Linked DNA regions of Arabidopsis thaliana. The protein of the gene in region 4 interacts with the protein of the main gene of each other region in a pairwise test. Each region holds a gene or a part of one and is shown on either strand. Other genes may lie near its edges. The genes, in order: WOX14, AGL92, AT2G35910 and AGL23.

Region 1 (6,163 bases), about 17 Mb from region 4:
ACCAGCTCTCCTGTCATTGACCTTGAAGTCGAAAACAGTGATGCTCCTAGGCCTAGTACTAGACCCTCGGATCATACGAGTTTAACAAGAAGAATTGAGTTTGGGTTTACCGAACCAAGATCCCAAAACTACAACATATATTCTTTTCCAGAAGTGAATCAGAAAGTGCAGCTATCTTGTTCGCTCTGCAGAAGTCCATTAGGTCTACCTGAGAATCACTCATATGTCAATTGCTTGTTGACTTCGTCATCGAAAAAGTATTTGCTGTCTCTTCTGAAAAAAACGTCAAGAACTGGAGCTGCAGAAATGTCAACAAGTGTTTCAATTATCATGACAGATTGCTCAATGGTTAATCAGAGACTCTGCAGAAAATTTGAAGGCTTAAAAGGTCAGGGTATTTGGTGCGAGCAAGATGGATGTGTTTTCAATACTATCTATTGCCCTTTCTGCAGCATCCCAAACACATGTCTCGGAGTGCAAGTCATGGCTACTGATTCATCAAATGTCCAGTTTTTGAGCAAAGTAAGCTGACTTAGTGGTGATTCCTTAGAGTGCTCAAGTCTCTCATTTGTGATTCGGTTTATTGTCTTGAGCGCTCGCTAATATCAAGATCTAATTTTACTTTGCAGATTTTGTTCTTTGCTGATCATCTAGAAGTCACCAATGAAGCTGCAAGCAAGGATTCAACGTTAAAGCACAAGGTATTCTTGCATACCCTTAAGTCTTTAGAAGCAATTTGAGGTTTCAGTTTGGAACAAATGGAGCTGCAAATTATTTTGAAATAGAAGCGAATTTGTTTTGACTCTTTCAGGACAAAGCTTGTGGTATCTGTGCAAAAATAATAATAACCTAATGGGTATTGTAGGAACCTCTTGCTGAGACTAATGCAGCTGTGGATAAGAGTGATGTGTTAAAGTCAATAGACAGATTTGCATACTCCCCAAATCAGCAGCAAGAATCAGGAGGCTGGAGGACTACAAAATCAAAGGTCTGTAAAGGCAATAATAACATGCATTCCGGTTTCTGTTTACACAGTTAGTCTGATCTACAATCTTAATTCTGTGCAGTTGAGACTACCTAAACGAAATTTGCCAACGAGCAAGAAGGCCTAGACAAAGGATGCATCAACAAGCTGAACCGGTCTGATTCATAACGAGGGATAAGTCAAGAAAGCCAAACCAGCACCAAGTTGCCTAAACCAATGTGAACCAAGGAACTTTGCTCATGGCCCAGCTTCGTTCAGAACTTAATTTATGTCCATGTAGTGGCAATCCCTTGTTAACTCGAGTAGTTCTTGAATAGTTAGTTACGTGTATATACACATATTCGTATAAGGTCAAGGTTTCTATACATGTTTTACCAGAAGTTTGTGAAAAACAAATTCTACAGTAAAAAAAAACTTGTTCAAGGTCTCCCTCACACAATCATATACGATGATATCAATTTATTGAGAAAACCAAATAAAAACAGAGAGGTTGGAGAGTTCATCATCTTTGTTTCACTCAGTCTATAAACTTGTCCCTATTCAACAAATGCTCAATCCCTGAAACCACAAAAAGTTCACCACATTTTTTCATCTCTGACTCAATTAAACCAAAATACGATGCATAGACACATAAATATCATATAGTAAGAGGTTACCTAAATCAGGACTCGGGAACAGTATATGCTCATAAGACTCAAACCCTCCAGAATCATCTCCACACCTCCCTCTCTCCTCAGTTGTTGTCACGGCCGCATCATCCGCCTGACTCGAGGTAATTGTCGTTGTCGGAGGTTGCTTTCGTTTGGACCGAGCTCGTCGGTTTTGAAACCAATGGTATACATTTTTCTCCATGATTTGTCCATGTTCAGACAGTTCCATCGTGATCTCTTTAATCCTCCGCGGATTTGGTGTTCCACTGCCTTCCTTGTAAATGTTCTCAAGAATCTGAAGTTGCGTTGTCGTAGGAGTCCATCGAGGCCGAGTCGACATTCCATGAGCGCTTGACGATGCCACCATTGGATCAAAATACTCACCTCTCATTGGATTCATTCCTATTGTATTTTCTCATAATCATTACCATACAAATTCAGTTACGTGACCCTTAAGTTTCTTCCAAATACAATTATGGAGTAGTGTACGTACCTGATGAAAGAAGAGGGACAGAAGAGAGAGAGTTGTGGAGGAAGACGAGCTGGTCGCAAAGAACGGCGTAAATGGCGATTTGCTTACGAAGAGTCTCCATTTGTTCATCCGTCATTACTCTACTACCATACCTACCGTTTAGGCTCTCTTGCTCCATCTCCTCTTTCACCACTTTGCCTTCTCCTCTCTCCTTTTTACCATATGAAGAAGACAATGTGGAAGTGAAGGTGTTATGTATTTTTCTTTTTGAGAAATCTTTAGTTATTTGTTACCGTTAACTTTAAACAATTTATGGAAAGATGTCAAACTAGGATCAATTGTCTGATTTTTTTTCTTTTTCAATTACTAGTTAATTGAGGTAATTTTGGGATTCAATTGGATAAATAATTGATATATATTCTAATTGTGTGGTCATGTAACCAATATCCGATTTTATATGATTTTTTGTGTGATAACAATAAATTTAAAAACAATGAAAAAAGCTATGGTCATGACTAGGATCGGTTATTATGGTCAATTGCTTCTACTCTTTAGTGTCATTTGAATTGAGATTTACCGGTCAAAATATCAACCGAGTTTAAGATGGCATCACTTTTCTTTCTGATGCTGAAAAAGATGTGGGCATATATATCAAGTTGAGGAACACAAAATTATAATAAAATTGAAGACTTGTTGTTAATGTCACACACAAACACACACAATTCTATTTTATGAAAACAGAGTAAAAGAAAACAGAATAGATTAGAGATCTTCTTCATCGAAGTCTATACGAATTTTAAGTCTCCATAAATTTCCCTATACTCAACAAATGCTCAATCCCTGAAACCACAAAAAAAAATGCAAACTCAAACCAAAAATAAAAAATAAACCTAACCAAATGTTTAAAAACTCAAATGATCTTTTTACCTAAGTCAGGACTTGGGAAGAGTATATGCTCATAAGACTCTAATCCCCCTGAATCTCCACAACTCCTCCTTTCCTCCGTTGTCACCGCCACATCGTCAGCCTGACCATTAGCTGTCGTCGTTTGAGGCTGCTTTCGTTTGGACCGAGCTCGCCGGTTTTGAAACCAATTGTAGACATTTGTCTCCGTGATCTGTCCATGTTCAGACAGCTCCGTCGCGATCTCTCTAATCCTCCGTCGATTCGGTGTTCCACTTCCTTCGTCGTAAATGCTCTCAAGTATCTGAAGCTGTGTTGAAGTCGGAGTCCACCGATGCCTAGTCGATATCCTATGAGAACTTGACGATGCCCCCATCGGATCAAAGTATCCGCCAACCATTGGCCTCACTCCTTTTTTACACTCAATCATTATAAAAAAATAAGTGACGTGACCCTTAAGTTTCTTCCATGTACAAAATATGTATTATCAAAACCACAAAGCACTAATAACTCAAGCTTCTTAAAAATCGGCCACGACATGATAACCCTCAAATCAGCTTACGTCTAGAGAAAATAAACATTAATAATATATTGAATTGTTCGATCTAAGCAAATCATAAACTATATTAACAAATATCTTTAGCAATGATAAATCGATATCTAAGCGGTAGGTAAACTGTCTTCGAATGTCTAAAACATTATGAAATTTGATTCAAAGTTATGCATCGAACACTGGGAAAAAAAAAGCCTTGGATTTCGTTAGTTGTATACCAAACGCAAACACAATTTTCACATTTTTACACTAAAGTCTCAATGGGTCAAGTGTATTAATGGAAACAACGTTTGCATCGCAAAAAACGCTGCGTTTAAACACTTTCGTCTTACACACTTCTTCTACCGTATACAAAGAAGCTCATCAAATGGTCTCTTGTAAAAAAATCAAATACATAGAAAAGTGATTGTTGTTAATCAGGAACAAAAACAGAGAGAAGTGTACCTGATGAGAGTGGATGGTAAGAAGAGAGGGAGTTGTGGAGGAGGACGAGTTGGTCACAAATAACGGCGTAAACGGCGATCTGCTTACGGAGAATCTCCATCTGCTCCTCAGTCATCACTCTCCCACTATACGCACCGTTTTGGATCTCTCTATCCATCTCCTCTATTTCTTTGCTTTTCTCCTTTTCCTTTTTTTTTTTTACCATATGAACAAGACAATGAGAAAGTGAATGATATATATATTCTTTTGTTTATGAATAAAGGGATCTTTAGTTTATTTGTTACCGTTAAATCAAACACTTTTTGGAAAGATGTCTTTGTTTAATGATCAATTGGACCAATTTAATTTTTACAGTTACCAGGTTTATTACATTGGTTACATATTGAAAACATTGGAGAACTATGGCCTTTCACTAGGATAGATTTTGGTCGACGGTATTCACAATTTTTTGTTAGAATTTCAACATTTTAATCGAGTTTTACGGGTCAAGATATCTACCATTTGAAATAGAAAAATGTGCTAATCCAAAATATGTATCTAAGAAGATCTTAATCCTATGTGTTGATGACATAATAAGACACCACACTAATATATAAAAACAACCTAATTAAAACCAGGTATTGTTGTTACATCCGTAGAGGAACACAAACTGTGTATCTTACTTTATGTATATAGTGGTTAGGTAAAGCCGGAAGCAAGGCTTAATCACAGCATTATATAAAATATTATCGTTGTGACTTATGACTAATGATTAAACTATTGATGGAAAAAGAAGAGCATGCTTTCTTTCTTTTTCTAAGTTGATTAAGAAGAAAATGTACGAATTTGACCAAAAAGGTTCTTTGATATAAAGATGTTGACTAAAAATTTATAACATAAGTGAGACTATTCTGCTGCTAATACGCAGATTTTCACTAAAATCTTCACTTTTGTCAAAAATGATCAAATTTTTTACTTATTTCTTAAATCAAACGAAGTAATACAATCCAAAGAGAAACTCTTAATTAAGCTGATGCAAACCATTTTTTTTTTTCAAAAGATGAAAAGAGAACCAAATGATCATGGCGTTGGTAATTTGGAAAATTCAAGTATAGCCTCAAAACAATTTTACCAACCTGTGTCTAAAGTCAAATAACTAAATAAAAAGTGAAAACATGGTTTACTCTTTGTGGAACACATTGATTAAGAGCGTGATTATGCAATAGGACTCACAACCCCAATATGATTTAAGTAAAAACATGGTTTACACTAATATTTTTTTCAGGGGTATAAATCCTCATATCAACTAGAAACAAAGAGTCTAAAGAGCATTAAAACGTAGAGGAATTAAAAACTAAATCATTCATTATATAGAGCTACAAATCTCTCATTTCACCATCTAAACATTCTACATTCACTTTTTCCATTACCCGTAGAATCAGTGGGAGATAGGTAATAGTTTACTAAAACGAAACATCAGTAAGAAAAAGAAAAAGAAAAAAAAAAAAAACCACTTTAACCACCCGAATTAACATTTTAAGAGAGGAGATAAAAACATCCGAGAGATTCCTTGCAGCCTTCTATATTACGCTACCACAACTTCAACTTCTTAATCATCGTCTTCCTCCTACATCACATGTATAACAGAGTTAATACAAAGCTTTACTGATTCATACTACAGATATTTAGATTGCAGAGGTGTAAAATAACTTACCTCTTCACTGCCATCCTCAGCATCATCCTCATCGTTAACCTCTGAAACTGACTTGTCAGATTCCTCATCTTCCTTAGGGCCTTCCTCCTGAAACCACAACACACCACCATTATTCAAGCACCCCCATTAACCAAATTACCAGTTGCTTGTATCATCATTGTTTAGAATAAACATAACTCAAACTTCAATATATAGTAAACAAATTAAGAAAGCCTTGAATAGTGTGACTACTGACTAGTATAAAGAGAGTAGACAACTCAATAACGTGGTTAATATAAACATAACATAGCCTTCTATATGCAAATAAACAATTACCAATTTCTTGTTGTAGGCTTTCATGTTCTTCTCATACTCAACCTTGCGCTTGTCAGCCTTAGCCACATAAGGAGCCTTCTCCTGCATTATTATAACACCCACAGGTTAATAAAACGCTTGAAACAATTGACTTAATACACACAACTTT
Region 2 (5,774 bases), about 13 Mb from region 4:
TCGTCAGTGTTGGGATGATACACGAAGTGAAGCCTATAGTTGAAATAGAACGCTAGGAAGCCATTTTTCTAAAAAAAAATCTTAATGAATACTTAGTAGGTGATAGGTACAGATAGAGATACATTAAGGCTTGTGTTAATTTCAAATTACCTTAGGCCCATAATATATGCATATCCTAAAATATACCTTATTTTCTTAATATCTCAGCTTTTTATTTAAAATTTTCAGAAGAGCCAAATCAATTTAACCATATTCAATCTTAATACAGTCTTTAAAACGGTTTTTAAAGGAGAAGCTTCAGGTGGCACGCATCGAACTAGGAAGACCCTCTAAATCAAGGAGAAGTATCAGAAGGCACTTTACTTAAACACCACAGTCTACTGCTTCTACTTGGAGTTGTATTCACTGAATTACCTGCCTTAGCAACTGCAAACAAAAAATAGAAAACCAGTCTCTGTCCCATCGGAGAGGCCTTACACGGGACCAAAGCAAAGGCCTTTGGGGTGCTCTTTAGGGTCACATGAGCTAAGGATGCTACTCGGTGGTGCAAGGGAGTTATAACTCTTTCAAGATTTCTCCCATTCTTGAAAGAATCCAGAAAGCAAGATTCGCAAGTGTTCGGGAATATGCTTCAAGAAGCCCATGCATGACCAATGTCCTGAAAACAAAGAAGAAGGATTTAATATCGACAAATAATTGTATTGTAAAGTATGACATGTTTCAGAACATAAACTAAGAAAGATGTAATTAGTTCTGTTTATGTTTACATTGCCATATTGGATCTTTGTGGCATTAAGAAACGAGTGAGGAAGATTAGAGTGTTTGGATTTGATCTGATTTCTAAGCGCTTCTTTTCGGTTCAAGAGTGATTCACTGCGACCAATTTCAACAATGGTTCTCCTCGTATATATACTCAATGGTACTTCTCCTCCTATATATACAACTTCCGTCCTGAACTCTCTTCAAAATATTTAATCATATAAGTATTTAACCATAATGAAGGCTTGAAAAGTATTGATGTTTTTTGGAAACAAAATCCTATCTGATTTTGGCAGATCTATTTAGTTATGCATTTTAAGAACAAAAAGCTCGTAAAAAATAATTTGTGACCAAACAGAAATGACTTCATTGAAATAGAACTGACTTAAAGGTAAAACCTTCAACTCTTACAACAACTAATTGAAAAGGAAAAGCATAATTAAATACTGGTCTTTTAAAACAAACAAAACACAAAATGCACACTACTGAAACACATCACACATTGTTGTTGTTGTTGTTGTTGGTGGTGGTGGTGGTGGTGGAAGGCATGTGACCGGTGGAAGTAAGACCAACGGTTGGTGGCTGGTGGTAGTTGTAGTAGTTTCCGTCCATGAAAGGGATGTGTGCATGCTCTCCAACATAACCCGCTTATTCATAAGGATATTCTGTCAACATATTCATGAATGGATCATTTTGAAACGGATACTGATTTGGATCCAAACTCATATTCTGGTTCAAATTCATATCATAGTTTCCTTGTTGAATCTGATGATTAAAATCAACAGGAGCTTGGTATTGAACCGGCTCCTGTTGATTTTGATTCAAATTCATATTCTCAAACTGAAAATGATCACTAAAACCAGTAGGGACATAGGGCTGAACCGGCTCATACTGATTCTGATTCATAGGAAGACCGGCACCTGCAACACCAAGAGCTTGGTAGTGAACCGGCTCTTGTTGATTTTGATACAAATTCATATGCTGATATTGAACATTATCACTAAAAACAGTAGGGATATAAGGCTGAACCGGCTCATACTGCAACTGACTCATAGGAAGACCGCCACCCGCGACAGCAAGACTCTGGTAGTGAACGGGCTCATACTGATTCTGAGTCATAGGAAGACCGGCACCCGCAACAGCAAGAGCCTGGTAATGAACCGGCTCTTGTTGGTTTTGATTGAAGTTCATATTCTGATATTGAATATGATCACTAAAACCAGTAGGGACATAGGGCTGAACCGGCTCATACTGATTCTGGTTCACATTCATGTTATGAAATCCAGTAGGAACATTAACCGCAGCTTGATCTGCAACAACAGGAAGATTGGCACCCGCAACAGCAAACAGAGGAGGAACAGTTACCGCAGCTTGATCAGCAACAACAGGAAGATTGGCACCCGCAACAGCAAACAAAGGAGGAACAGTTACCGCAGCTTGATCTGCAACAACAGGAGGATTGGCACCCGCAACATCAAACAGAGGAGGAACAGAAGAAGAAGACTCACCATATTCTGTAAGGAACTTCTTCCTGGCATTAAGCTGATTAAGATATTGATCAGTAAAAAGACTTAAATCTTGAAGGTCCCTTGCACCATACTGTTGCTCACTCATCTTGCCTCCAACGCAATCAAACATAAAATGCTTAAGCTGAGTTTCTCGGTTTTCACGACGTAGACTCTCTAGTTTGTTTTGTTCTTTGGTGATTTGGTCCCGCAAGAAAGTCTCATGACTCATCATCGTCTTGGACCGTTCTGTCGCCGGCTTCTCCATGAACTCCGAAATCACCTCTTGAACACCTTCGGTTGACGGCCACACCGTTGGATTCTCGAACGGACTGTAGATTACCGCACATGCTTTGATGTCACAGAGAGTTGTCAGCTCGTGGAGTTTCTTCCTTATCCCTGCATTCCTCTTCCTGAATGTGGCTCTCCGAAAGTGTCTATCAGGTATGAGTACTAACTTAGTCTTCGTCCTCATTATCTTTATTTTTCTTTTCTTTGGTGTTTGTGTTTGTTTAGTTTCTTGGCCCAAGACTGTTTATATAGCAACGAAAAGGGTGATTTTTTACTCAGGGTGTGGCTTATCACGTTTCTGGACTCATTAATTTGTAGTTACAGCATTAAATCTTTTGGCTACTGTCTTATTAATTGATTAGGCCACTAATTAAAGCTATGACTAAGATTGGATTCTCTTTTCTCTTTACTAAATATAGTTTATCTTCGTATATTACTCACTTTTCTTTTAAGAGTAATATTAAGCTTTGATAAACTGTGAAAATTTCTAATATTTTAAGTGTTTTTCTTTTCTTTTCGAATAGAGTTTTACAGCTTAATTTCCATGTAAAATCATGAATATATAAAAGCTTAGGAACTTTGTTTATCTATAGTAAAATTATTTCGGGAAAGAATTAACGTGTCTTACGAAATATTTAGAACGAGCGAAAATTTTGAAATATGTAGACATTAAAGGAAGCCTACATAGAAAAAAGTTTGTAAACCAATATAATAAAATAATAAATATCATTAAAATTTCTATCATGTTTTAATATATAAAAAATGCTCTTTTATATGTATAAAAATTTATCTTTACAATAATAAAATATAAAAAATAATAATAAAGTAATAAAGAAATTTTTCCTTATAAAATATTAAAATCACAGATTTAGTTATATGAATTAAATTTTTAATAAAATATTTTTAAAAAATCTGCCATGGCCAGAAGGTCCATCTAATTTTGTTTAGTCAATAAGTTGATTTTAATTAAAAGGAAATAAGGGTAAAACTGTCTTTATACATTAATATAATAATATATATGGATTTTTTCCATCTTTTGACTTATACACTAATATGACTATTTATGACATTAAAACGTATCAATTAATGTACACGTGTAAAATCATGATTGGATATAAAAGAAAATCAGTTATTTTAGAGATAAATTATGAATTCATGCATATATTATACCTTTTGGAGCATATATTTTTCTTAATTTGGTTAAAATATTCATTGTACTGCCAGCTAATTATGAGCTGTAAATATTTGAAACTAGAAATTTGACAAGAGGTTTAGAGCACTTCCAATGGTTTTCACATATCCCAAAAAAGTATCCCAACTTTTAAAGTCTTAATATTTTTAATAATTTTAATTTAAAAATAAAAATGAACAATTAAAAAGAGACAATTGTAAAGTTCTAGTTAGTATACCCAAAGTTCTTATTTGAGAAATTTTCTCTTCTTTCTATCTTAAATTTTTTTTTAGTTATGATTATAATGGGGGAGTATCTTATTAAGACCCTCCAATAATTTTCATTTTTATTTATATGTCTAGTTAGGATGTTTGAACTATATATATAGGTCATGTTCAAAAGTTTAGTTAAAGATTTTTTAAATATGGTAAAATAATCTTTTGAAAAGTTATAGGTCCTTATTGAGTTATATGTATATGAAATTTTTTACAAGAACAGTTTTTTGGTAATCAAGATCCATTTGATCTCTATACTTGCTATATTGAAAACAATTATGGTCTGTTCGATTTTCTTTGAGTTAGTAAGCATAATTGGCCTTTAACAATATTTTGTGTTAGTATCGGATGGCACAGTTGAACTTAAATCCAACCCAAAAAACCTCATTAGTGTCGGGATGATAGACGAAGTGAAGCTTGCCATTTTGTTATACTTATTAGGTAGTATGTACAAACGGAAACTCATTAAGGCTTTGTGCTAATTTCAAATTATCCTTAAGCCCATAATATGTACATATCCAACCAAGATAGATCCCTTCTAAATGAAGACTTCTTATACTCCAATCTTGCTAGTGACTTAATGGAAGTGTGCAAAAGATAGTGGCTTGGTGAAAATACCTGTTAGTTGATCATTTGTCGAGATGACAGCTAATGCTTCATTCAAAGATGGAAGTCGGGATAGTAACCTAATTGAGATTCAAATTAGATTTCAAGAAAGTAGTAATTAAAATGATTCTAGTCTAGTATATTATAAATAGATTATGGTTTTGGACATTTTTGTTTTGAATATACCTTATTTTGTAAAGTATTTTCTGGAAGAGACTAATAAATTTAATCATAATCAATCGTATCAATTTTTTTTCCCGGATTAAAAATTTGCTTTTCACCGTGAAGTTATGAACAAAATTGTATGAATTCGTACTTTAACTGCAATATGTTAATACATTTACAACATCTCAGGCTTCATAATTTAAAACCTTCAAAGTAAAGGAGAAGCTTCAGGTGGCACGCATCGAACTAGGAAGACCCTCTAAATCAAGGAGAAGTATCAGAAGGCACTTTACTCAAACACCACAGTCTACTGCTTCTACTTGGAGTTGTATTCACTGAATTACTTGCCTTAGCATCTGCAAACAAAAAATCTAAACCAGTCTCTGTCCCATCGGCTTTGTTCATGTCATCGGTTAAAGAATGCCTTACACGGGACGAAAGCAGAGGTCTCTCAGGTGTCCTATAAGGGTCACGGGAGCTAGGGAAGCAACTCGGTGGTGCAGGAGAGTTAGGGTTGCTTAAAGAATCTTCTTTCAAGATTTCTCCCATTCTTGAAAGAATCCGGAAAGCTAGATTCGCAAGTGTTCGGGAATATGCTTCGAGAACCGCATGACCTATGTCCTGAACACAGAGAAGAAAGATGTTTCAGACCATTGGACTAAGAAAGATGTAGTTAGTTTTGTTTATTTATACCTTGTCATATTGGATCTTTGTAGCATCAAGAAACGAGTGAGGGAGATTAGGGTGTTTGGATTTGATCTGAGTTCTAAGCGCTTCTGCTCGGTTCAAGAGTGACTCATTGCGACCAATTTCAGACAACGGATCTTTAGCGAATGACCACGATGCTCTTACAGGGGATTTACCATTGCTGCCTTGTTCTGTAATCCTTTCTTTCCAAGCAAACATAGCAGATTCTAACTTGTTAACTGTCTCGAGTGCTGCATGTTCGGTTCCCAGATTGAGCGATATAAAGATTTCATCTACTGTTGCAGATTCCACAGC
Region 3 (5,839 bases), on a different chromosome or scaffold from region 4:
TTTGATCAGAACGCTTTGATTCTAGACGAATCTGATAACCCACAGATTCACCAATGGATTCACCTCTTTCAGCAGATATACGAGAAGCAACAGATATGGCCGATATACGTCGAGGTTGAGTGCAAATTATGTTGCAATCAGCACCTCTTAGGGATGATATTTCTTCTTCCAATATAAATTGAGGAAGCTGTGTTGTTTTACCACACCCGGTCTCTCCTGAAACTACCAATACCTGAAAAATAAACAACGGACACAACTATAAGCGCAAGATCAACACAACACAAGACAACTAAAAAAAATAGCTTGACAATATTATTGGAGAGAGGCAGAAATAATAGCTGATGGAATACAGAGAAGAAAAACATACCAAACAATTACCTGGTTTTGTGAAACAGAGTTAAGAAACTCCTCTTTCATTTTAAAAGCAGGTAGCTTTTCTCTGAACGCTTTAAGTGCTTTTACACTCTCAGTTGCCTGTGTTGAAACGGTTATAAATTGATGTTATGTCCAGAATCTACATCTACCATAATGCATACGGTTTACTTTAGCAATACATGTACCTTAAGCTTTTCCTGCCTTTCCTTGAGTGCAAAACTGAATTTTTCTTTCTCAAGAGAATCCGGCAATTTGGAAGCAGAATCAGGTCTTTTCAAGCCAAGAGTTGAAGTACGATCCTGTTGATCGTTAAAAGCTGAAGCAGAGGCACCAGAGGACCCTGATTCTTGTGTTGTTTTCAAAAGACTTCCAAGTTTTCTCTCAGTCTCTGTGGACATTTTAATCTACAAGAAAAAGAGTATAAGCGTTTCAGCAGCCACCACTGAGTACAAAACTTTCGTACTAGCAACATCTCTATTACCTCTTTCTGAGTGGATCCATGCCGTTCATCAAGATCCGCTCGATAATCTGGTAAAGGAACTTTGCTAACAACAAGAGCCTTCCCTTTATTGTACGCATGACTTCCATTCCAAAAAACGATAAGCAAATTCATGACATACTCTCACCATATGGACTTAAAACGAAGTTGTCGAAGAAGATATAGAGACTTACAAGTAAAGACCCATCTGCAAAGCCATATCAGAAAGTGTTTGCTGATCTCCACGGCTAAAATTACGCTTAATTAGCATCTCTTGTTCTCCTCCTGTTTTCCATTGCTCAATCTTGTTCCACCATTCATTCTCATCAAGTACTTCCATCTGAGATAAATTATGACTACTTCATCATCTGATTCGAAATTATGTATCAATGTCTAATCGTTAAATTGAAGTAATGAACTCAGAATCTACAAGAACAATGTATCAATTACCTCAGCTTGTTGCTGGCGCAAACGCTCAGCTCTCCACACAGGATCCCACCATCGCTGTTCCCCCCGGCCGCCACCACCACCGCCACGACCGCCGCCGCCGCGTCCACCACGACGACCGGAGGAATGACCTCCGCCTCGACGACCACCTTGAGAATTAGGACCGTGAGGAGGCATAGCGGCGGTGTGAAAGAGAGGACGAAGCGGAGAGAGTTTGGAAGAAAATGGAAGGAGAAAGCGAAGCGTGGAGAAACAAGAGAGGGACTGTTGCATTCGTAATGAATATAAAGTTTGAAACAGTTTAAAGTTGAACTCGCACTGACGACTATTTTTGCTTATTGGAAAATTTTGTATTGAATTTTGTATTACACTATACAAGATAACACACACATATGATATGAGTGACTTAAACCTAATTTAGCTTCAACTTTCAACCATACATACACATTACACATATGAGTAAATCTAATATCATTAGCCGGAAGATATGCGCTTTTTGTGAAATTACTAGATCAACAGTATTTGATACATCACCAAACTGATAGCAAATTAGTAATGATGGAACTAATTTGTGACACCACCAAACTGAGTCAACTATGAGACTTGGACAACTTATTCCAAGAGTGAGTTAACAATAAAAAAACAATGTCAGGATTATAACATTTTTTTCTCTCTTATTATTTCTTCCAAACTTTTTATGCCTAGTAGTAAGTGTTTCCTTTATATATTTGGCCTAAGTAGCTCAATTAGTGTTTGAGTGTAATTTCATATGTTTTGAGTATCCGGCCCAAATATATGGCTTGAAGGTCATAAATTGTTTATCTAAATTCATATTGTTTTAGATGACATAGACTATAGAATATATGATTGGGAATCCGGAGCTATGGGTTTTAAAAGCCCATAGTTACTCTACTGATTGGGGAAAAAAAGAATTGAAAAATTGGAAGAGCGGCGGCAATAATTAAGTGTTCAATAACAATGGTGTATTCGAATATCAATTAAAATTCACTGAATACATTCATTCTTCACCAAATGAATCCGCCCCTGGATAATATACGTTCATTTATCTCCATTCTTAATTACATGTATATCTGTTTATATACTATCATAGCTAGTGTATATTAAAATATACATCATGCGAGCATGCAATGACGCATTTTCTTCATTAATAACAACTGTCCAACAGATTGTTTTCCATTATCAAAGATGCCTTGTGTTAGTAACTTGGCCGTTAAGTGAATGATTTTTATCCTATGGTAGTTTGCCAAAATATAATTTTATGTAATACAAATGTTAATGCCCACGACTCAATTGGTTAAATTTGGATTTCCTAGTATATACAAATTATTTACCTACAATTATATTTTATTTTATTGTCTTGCCACTTTTAGGAGAAAAACAAAACTTTATATTAATCTTCTAATATGGAGAGATTTCAAAGTTTTAAATATTCTAATACTAAAATAAGATAACACTGCGACTTTAAAAGCAAGTGAAGGAAACTAAACGTTGCTTAGGTGACATGATTGGACTTAAATAAGCCTGAATAAAGGAGATAACTAAACGTACATAAACAACAAGATTAGTATATAAGTACAACGTTGACTTCAAACTAATTCAGCGTAAACCTTCTCTAATCTTAGCCACTGGCCCCTCCCTACATTCCTAAATCAAATCTTAATACATGTCACACGTTAAATTCATTAGCCCTGTATCCAATTCAATTGTGCAACTAAGTGTTTTATGTTTGAAATAAACAACGAATTAATGGGTCAATATATTTATATATGCGTTATACTATTACAGTATTACCAATACAATATTAGAAAATTTATACATTGAATATTTTTTTAACCATCCACAAGTCACACAATTCTTGCTTTGCTTTGACAAGCTTTCTTATCCTCATTCACATGCATTTCCTCCCTTTGTCTCTCTCTCTCTCTTAGCGTTGACTTTTGATAACCCCAAGATGCTTCAATTTACATTGTCTTATATCAAATCGCTGACCAAAAACCTCTCCATTATTTCTCCTCTTCCTCCTCCCAAACCCATTAAACAAAACCATCAAACCAAACCCGCCATGAACAATTTCCAACCACCGCCACCGTCCGAGATGCCGGACTACAACGGCCTCCTCGGCACGGACGACATAGGAGGATTTCGATACGGAATCGGTGTCTCCATCGGGGTCCTCCTCCTCATCACCACCATCACCCTCACCTCATACTATTGCACACGTAACCAGCTCTCTTCTTCACCTTCACAAACCAACCAAGATTCAACACGTATCCATCACCATCACCACCATGTCATCATCGACGTTGTCCCCGGTCTTGACGAGGACACCATTCAAAGCTATCCAAAGATTCTCTACTCGGAAGCAAAGGGACCAACAACGGCGTCGTGTTGTGCCATTTGTTTAGGAGACTACAAGGGAAAACATCTGCTGCGGCAGCTACCAGATTGCAACCATCTCTTCCACCTTAAATGTATCGACACGTGGCTTAGACTCAATCCTACGTGTCCTGTGTGTCGGACTTCGCCGCTTCCAACTCCTCTGTCTACTCCCCTCGCCGAGGTTGTCCCTTTAGCCTCCTCCGTGGCCGCCACAAGAATGTCCTAGTGATTTGTTTATTTTATAACCGAAGAAATCGAAATCTTGACTAATCTCCGGCTTAAACTCGTTATTAATTCTTCTTTTAATTCCTTGTAAATTTGTTATTTTTGGTCACTAACTGATCACTGTATATACACTCTTCGAAGCCGAAGATTTGTAAGAGAAAGGAGGTTAAGGATGAATTTTTCACAATTTTGTTGGATTAGTTTTTCTTTAAGCAATGTGAACGAGTTTATCTATACATACGTACCAAGAAAGAGTAATTAAAGTCGTTTTGAATATTGGCAAATATGTTTCTTGGCTTGTATTGAACTTTGAGAGATCATTTTAAATATTGAGACGTCAAAGAAAAAAAAAAGAGTTTGAGGACAAGTTGGAACTTAAGATAATGGGATCGAATCAATTAGGCGTTTTTGATAGTCAGTCTGACAATCTTTCTCAATCATATGGTTTATTTATTAGCAATTTTTTTTTTGTTAAACAAAACCAGATATTTAACAGCGTATTTGTCTTATTGGGTAAACCGTTAGCCAATACATATGATGATATGAGAAAAAGACTTTTATGAGGACCTTAAGAAAAGATATAAAACGTTGATTAAGAGATATAAATCAAGAAGAAAAAAAACACTTGAAAACGATTGTTTTTGTCTCCAATCTCAAGCTGGCTGAAATTAAGTAGGTGAGATGATAAAAATGAGTTGACCATGATAAAACTACTCTTATCTTATTTAAAGTATTCGGTAAACAAAAATATTACTCCAAATATTAGGAACCATGATCGAGAGAGAAAACATGGTGAAAAGCTCAATTTCTCATTAATGATTCAAAGAGTTTGTTACAATCGTTTATAGTCAACAGACTCAATAACCAGAAATAACCAAAGATATGCTCAAATTCATTTTTACAAACACTCAAAAGTGATATGCTCTTTCTCTCGGCTCTGTATTCCTTTCATAACAAGACAAACCGAGGTCGTTCAAACCATCATCGGTAACGTCGAAGGCTTCAACTTGAAGCAATGATGCTGATTTAAGACTTATTGTGCTAGGCTTCTTAATATTTTGGCCCATCTGCCAGAATTAATGATGAATACTTTCATATTGGGCCCTGAGAAATTGACTAAGACCCAATTGTTCACAGCAATGTCAAAAAATTTACCCAAAAAATCTTTCTTTCCCATCTTTTAACTTCAACTTTTATTACTTTTTATATAATCTATTTTCCTTAATAAGAAAATTAAATACTGAATAAATTCTAAATATTTGATACATTCTAAACATTTTTATTATGTAATGGTGAATGTCTAAGTATTTCTCAAAATTTTAGTTACAACTCTGATCTACTAAGAAAGTATCTATGAAAAAAAAGAATAAGATACAAGGTAATAAAATGAGTGGATCTTAAACGCGAATACAATAAATCAAACAATTTGAGACGCATCATACGTTAAAAATCTATTAACCAGCGGTCTTCCGGTTCAGATTGAGAAATTTGACTACTTTAGTTTGGTTTGATTTGGTTCAAACTTTTTTCCGACCCGTGAAGAAAAAGAAAATCCTCACGCGCCGGTAAGTCGGTTTCACGAACAAAGAGGCCTGAGTATAAAAAAACAAATCGGACGCTTCGAGTTTTTCTTGAGGAAGAATCCACACACACACAGAAGAAGAATCTCATCACGAATTTTAGCTATGGGTTGGATCTGGATTGACGATTCATCCGCCTCTAAAGCCGGTGCTGATCTCACCGATAAACCGCTCGGAGATTCTGCCGCCGCCGCCGAAAATTGCTCCACGACCACGGTGGTAAGATCTCAGTGCAAGACGGAGGAGGTCGAGCCTGGAAAGTTCGTCAGGAAATGCGACAAAACAGAAGAAATCCTCCGCCACTGTTTTGGGAAGTGAGTGTTTCGGATATTTT
Region 4 (5,579 bases):
GTATAAAAACCCTTGCAAGTTGCAACTGTTGAAAATCTAATACAATATTTTAACGCATTTTCCCCCTTTTGACATAAATTCCATAAGTTTCATTTTCTTCAAATTGTAAATTACTGGAGTTTCTTAATCTCTTTTATAACGGATGTACTTATTTAAGAAAAATAGAAAATAAGCATTTGCACAAATTAAGAAAAAGATAAGCATAACCACAACTGAATTAAGAAGGAAGGTTTTGATCGGAGGAAGGTTTTAAAACCACAATTGAAGAAGCCAGCTTGAAAGACCGGGATTAATATATGAATTATGTAGATTTTTATTATTGTGTGATTTGATATTTTCAATTTTAATGTTCTGTTTCAAAGATGATTGACTATATTCCTCGGTTAATAAAGCCAATACATTACAATATATATGACGATATCTGAATGTATAACTCTCTGTAATGTAGATATATTTTTGGTTTCTATGGGGTCAGAGACAATTGCTGCTCTGTGGTTTTTACACACTTGGTTATTTATCGGATGTGTATAGTAGCTTAACATGCTTGATAATTCCATGTATGTGTTTAGAGTTTAGTTTTCATTATCAGATAGATATTAGTTACACTTTATATTGAGGTCCCTAAGTTAAACCATGCATATTCACTATCATTATTTCGGTAAAAGTTAATTATACTCAAGATGGTTTCTCAGTTTGGGGGAGTTGCAAGACTGTAGAAAGACCTTGATCTCCATTGCCTTCACTTCACCATGAGTGAGCTTAAAAGGTAACTTTCATTTTCAAAATGTGATCTTCTGTTATGTCTATGCGATCATTCTAAATGAAACATTAGTAACGTCACTGATATTTCAATACTCAAACTAAACAAACGGATAAAGAGAAAGTGAATTGACTAACAAACTGGTGTATATATGCTTTATATCCAAAGCCTTTTTTCGTTTTGTTTAAGTCGTTCTTATCTCCACTCTCTTTTTTATTTTCTTTGAAGGGCACAATATCACTATTGTATACGGCTTTTGTTGCTAAACTACTTTTTATAACCTATTCCCATGGTGGCAAGAATTTGTTAATGCAATTTCTGGAGAAATAAAGGTAATGTAGTCTCTAGCTGTAAGTAAGGAAATCACTTTAAGAAAATGCAGATACTATACAGGAAATTCGGCTACTCTTGAGAAAAGTCATCTACTTAGGCAAAAGATAAAGTGCAAAATTTAACGTTGATATCCGATATACATAGATAGGAACGAGTACAAATATGAGATTTGTTCTTTACAAAGCAATTTTACATGCACCACCAATACAATCAAAGAAAAATAGGTATCTGCCCAATGTTTTCTGGCGTTTACTTTAGCAAGCAAATCTTGCAATTCATCAAAATGTTTATGAGTTCTTGAAATCATTATAATAATATAAAATATCTAACTTATTTTCCAAATTTTGTCACTTAACATTTAACATTGCCACCACTTATTATAGTTAAAATTTACATTGTTGTAAAGAAATTTCAATAACAAAATATTTAAGAATATTATCCAAGTTTTATTTATTTATTTATATATTTTAATTATAAAACTCCAAATAAAATAAACATTTAAAATAATTAAAATACTATGGCATAGTATTAGAGTGAGTCGATTTCTAGTATAATCAATTATATACTTTTATTGTCAAAATATATAATTTACTCCTACAATGGTAATTTATTATTGTTATAATGTTTGGCATTCAAATTTGTTACCTTATGTGATTGTAAAGTAAAACATAAGATGTCGTCATGTGTCATGTTTAAATTGGATTAATATATTTAAAGATAACATAAACTAGTTTTTAACCTTATCTAAAAAGAGAGTTATACATTTATTTATTTAGATATTTTTAATATGACAATAAAAATTTGAAAATTCGGAGATAAAACATAATTTAATTATTTTTACATCAAAAGTCGGCAGTCTAAAAATTCAAAAGCAGGCGATTAAAAATAAATTATTGGACAACTTTTTTAATTTAGATATTTTTAATACTACAACAAAAAGTTGAAAATAATTTTAATAATGAATTATTATACAATTGTTTTTATTTAGATAATTTTAATCTTATACAAAATACTTGAAAAGGCGGCGATGACATAAAGTATTAAGGAACTAATTTAGTTGGATTCTTTGTAACATCCAAAAATAAAAACTTAGAAAGGGGAATCAATCTTAGAGATGTGTGAAATATATATATATATATATATATGTTTATCTCACAATAAAAACTTGAAGAGTCGGCGATCACAGTTAAAATATCAAACAACTATTACTTAATATGCAATAAGAACTTTGAAAGTCGGCGATCAAACTTAAATTTATATTTTTCAATTTTCTATATAATAAAAGGAAGTTGGACATAATATTTCATTAATGCATTATGAATTTTATATAAATCTTAAACACTTAATAATTATTTATTTTATTTTATAAGATTAGTTTGATTAATAAAAAAGGTTAAAAAGGATATTGACTATAGAAAATAATGGAAAAAATCCTTTAACCAATCATTGGTACCTATATTTGATAGGTTTGTAATAGGAAAGATATCCCCAAAATTTTTAATAACTTGACAGGCTGTAACAAATATAATAGCTAAATGATAATGTTATAGATAAAACTGTAATAATTATATACCTTTTATTGACAAAATCTGTAAATCTGTATCTAAGCCTTAAATGGTAATTTATAATTTATTTCTAATATATAAAATAGGAAATTATATTTACATTTAAAACTCTAAACAAATTTTGTATGTTTTTTTCTATAAATACAAAGACATATTATCTTTAATACAATCAATTCAATTTTTCTTTCTTCAAAACATCTAAAAAATGGTGAAAAAAACTCTTGGTCGTAGAAAGGTAGAGATAGTGAAAATGACTAAGGAATCAAACCTTCAAGTCACATTTTCCAAGAGAAAAGCTGGTCTTTTTAAGAAGGCTAGTGAATTTTGCACATTATGTGATGCAAAAATTGCGATGATCGTGTTTTCACCAGCTGGAAAAGTATTTTCTTTTGGTCATCCAAATGTTGATGTTCTGCTTGACCACTTTCGAGGGTGTGTTGTAGGACACAACAACACAAACCTTGATGAAAGCTACACAAAGCTTCATGTTCAAATGCTCAACAAATCCTACACTGAGGTAAATGTCAATTGTTGGCAATATCTAATATTTGTTTCTCTCTTATTTTTCGATTTTGATATTGAATATTATATAAATGTTTCACAATTCATGGATATTCTTAACAAATTCATTATTCGTGGATTTATTCGTAGGTGAAGGCGGAAGTAGAAAAAGAACAAAAGAATAAGCAGTCGCGGGCTCAAAATGAAAGAGAAAACGAAAACGCTGAGGAGTGGTGGAGTAAGTCTCCATTAGAACTCAACTTAAGTCAATCAACCTGTATGATACGTGTTCTTAAAGATTTGAAGAAGATAGTTGATGAAAAAGCAATTCAATTAATCCATCAAACAAACCCAAACTTCTATGTTGGAAGTTCTAGCAATGCTGCTGCTCCAGCAACTGTTAGTGGTGGTAATATCTCCACAAACCAGGGGTTCTTTGATCAAAACGGAATGACGACTAATCCTACTCAAACACTTCTGTTTGGATTTGATATTATGAATCGCACACCAGGAGTTTAAATAAGTCTATCCTCATTATGGGTCTTGGTACTATAAGTTCATCTCTCTCGTTGTTGACTTTTTAAGTCTCCAATAGTTTGTTGTGTCTTTTTTTTTTTTTTTTTTTTTTTTTTTTTAATTGTTGGTGTCGTATGTCTTTTAATTAAGTCTTGAGTCAATTGGCTTGTTGTTTCTTTTCGTTGTTCTTTGTGTCTTGTAGCTTTCGATGTTTTTTGGTGGAACATGAATAAAGCTATATGAAGTTTTATAATATTTTCATTACTGTGATCTTATATGTTTATTGTGTATATGGAACTATATATTTTTGAGGCATAGTTAATATTCTAGTAATTTCCCAAAGATCTATATAAGTCTAGTAATTTACAACTTTGATATGCTATATTAACTCAGCCAGCACAACCACAAAGCTATAGACATCACTCTTTGCTGTGAATTGGCTAGACTGAAAGTACTCAGGATCCATATATCCCATCGCGAAACTTTGGCTCGATATTTCTCATCTAACATGATGTTTGTAGACTTGACGTCTCTGTGATAGATTGGAGATGATTCAGCCGAGAGCAAGTATGAAAGAGCTCATGCAATATCCACTGCTATGCGGAGACGTACATCCCAAGTAATCATCGTGAAATCATCAGCTTATCGTGAAGATGCTCGAAAAGGTTGCCATTGGGAATAAACTCGTAGACGAGAAGAAGGACATTTGTCTCATTACGGAAACAACCTAAGATTTTCACGATTCTATGGTTAATCTGCGAAAGAATTACAACCTCATTGATGAACTCTTCTAGCTTGTCTGCGTCCACAACTTTGGGTTTCTTTACTGCTACAATTCTAGCATCGACAAGCATTCCCTTGTACACAGTACCTTGACCACCCTGACCAAGTATTCTATTTAGGCTGAAGTTTTCAGTGGCTTTCTCTAACTCACTCGAGCTGAACACTCTTGTCTTCTCGACATTGCCTTCTGTTGAAGTCAATTGTTGTTGCAACAATAAACCCCCAGTACGTTTGAAGAACTTTCTCTTTTGGTTTAGCCTCATTTGTTTTCTACTAAATTTTATAACCAATATACTCCACCAATGAAGATTAACAAGCCTAACCCTGCAAACCGGCAAAAACAAAATGATTAGATATATCTTGGAAATATAAATACTAAAAAATGAATAACTTCTATTTTATTTTATTTTGGTGTGTTGAATATTAACTTCTTTTATTGCTTGTGTAGATGGTAATATTAATTACTAATGGCTAATTAGGGGTGTTAATTTGTGTAAATTCTCATTTATTTAAATGCGAATTACTTTGATCCATACGGACCTATTTAGACCAATTTATAATTTAAGCAATATATATCACTACAAAAAAACGGCCTTTAACGTCATTTTATTTAGATGTTAACCTCGGTATTTATATGACCTAGTTATAATGACATCCGTATTTAATTGACAATTAATAACATCGGTATTTAACTGATTTTGAGATCTAAAAATAAGAAGAAAACTTTAAATACAATTACTGACCTTGGCATCCGACGTATGGGTTGCCGTTGTAACCGCTATTGCATGCACAACTTGCATATCTTAAATTCACATTATAATCACATACATGGATCAATAAATTCCTTCTTATTGTACTCTGTTAAATTCTGGCATCCCAAAGAGTCTATAAACGAAAGATCCGTAGTGTGAATAAACCATCCTAGCTCAACGTGAGAATATCGTAGAGCATGGATCTGTTGTGGACTGTATCTACCCAACATATCATACGGTTCGTCTGTTAAGAAAGCAAATTTGCACCCTTTAGTTGTTGTGTAACTTGTGTTACTATCTTCTATTTTGACACCAACAGTCAACACGTTGAACCCCATAAGGCATGCTTGCCTTGCAGGCTGCAGCATC

Evidence for each region.
Region 1: the proteins of AGL23 (region 4) and WOX14 interact in a two-hybrid assay, tested with the Arabidopsis thaliana proteins (one large-scale study listed by BioGRID).
Region 2: the proteins of AGL23 (region 4) and AGL92 interact in a two-hybrid assay, tested with the Arabidopsis thaliana proteins (one large-scale study listed by BioGRID).
Region 3: the proteins of AGL23 (region 4) and AT2G35910 interact in a two-hybrid assay, tested with the Arabidopsis thaliana proteins (one large-scale study listed by BioGRID).

The regions. Positions count from the first base shown.
Region 1 is NC_003070.9:7,180,607-7,186,769, reverse strand, and holds WOX14 (WUSCHEL related homeobox 14), read right to left. Parts: upstream 4,213-6,163; coding exon 4,008-4,212; exon of another isoform or gene 3,441-4,007; coding exon of another isoform or gene 3,422-3,440; coding exon 3,035-3,421; coding exon of another isoform or gene 3,018-3,034; exon of another isoform or gene 2,948-3,017; coding exon 2,904-2,947; 3' UTR 2,714-2,903; downstream 1-2,713. Other genes in the region: AT1G20720 (RAD3-like DNA-binding helicase protein), read left to right, coding at 1-522, 630-701, 866-988, 1,068-1,112; WOX10 (WUSCHEL related homeobox 10), read right to left, coding at 1,503-1,543, 1,642-2,037, 2,129-2,285; HMGB3 (high mobility group B3), read right to left, coding at 5,577-5,613, 5,701-5,780, 6,010-6,096. UniProt on the Arabidopsis thaliana protein: Acts redundantly with WOX4 downstream of the TDR/PXY receptor kinase to regulate procambial cell proliferation and differentiation in vascular tissue, independently of any role in vascular. Involved in the regulation of gibberellin (GA) biosynthesis pathway.
Region 2 is NC_003070.9:11,321,438-11,327,211, forward strand, and holds AGL92 (AGAMOUS-like 92), read right to left. Parts: upstream 2,740-5,774; coding exon 1,482-2,739; intron 1,392-1,481; coding exon 1,255-1,391; downstream 1-1,254. Other genes in the region: ROPGEF14 (RHO guanyl-nucleotide exchange factor 14), read right to left, coding at 5,037-5,393, 5,466-5,774. UniProt on the Arabidopsis thaliana protein: Putative transcription factor.
Region 3 is NC_003071.7:15,071,312-15,077,150, reverse strand, and holds AT2G35910 (RING/U-box superfamily protein), read left to right. Parts: upstream 1-3,010; 5' UTR 3,011-3,272; coding exon 3,273-3,926; 3' UTR 3,927-4,264; downstream 4,265-5,839. Other genes in the region: AT2G35920 (RNA helicase family protein), read right to left, coding at 1-232, 379-474, 561-779, 857-956, 1,048-1,193, 1,304-1,573; AT2G35900 (Mal d 1-associated protein), read left to right, coding at 5,611-5,819.
Region 4 is NC_003070.9:24,278,474-24,284,052, forward strand, and holds AGL23 (AGAMOUS-like 23), read left to right. Parts: upstream 1-2,863; coding exon 2,864-3,175; intron 3,176-3,309; coding exon 3,310-3,678; 3' UTR 3,679-3,760; downstream 3,761-5,579. UniProt on the Arabidopsis thaliana protein: Probable transcription factor that controls female gametophyte (megagametogenesis) development and chloroplast biogenesis during embryo development.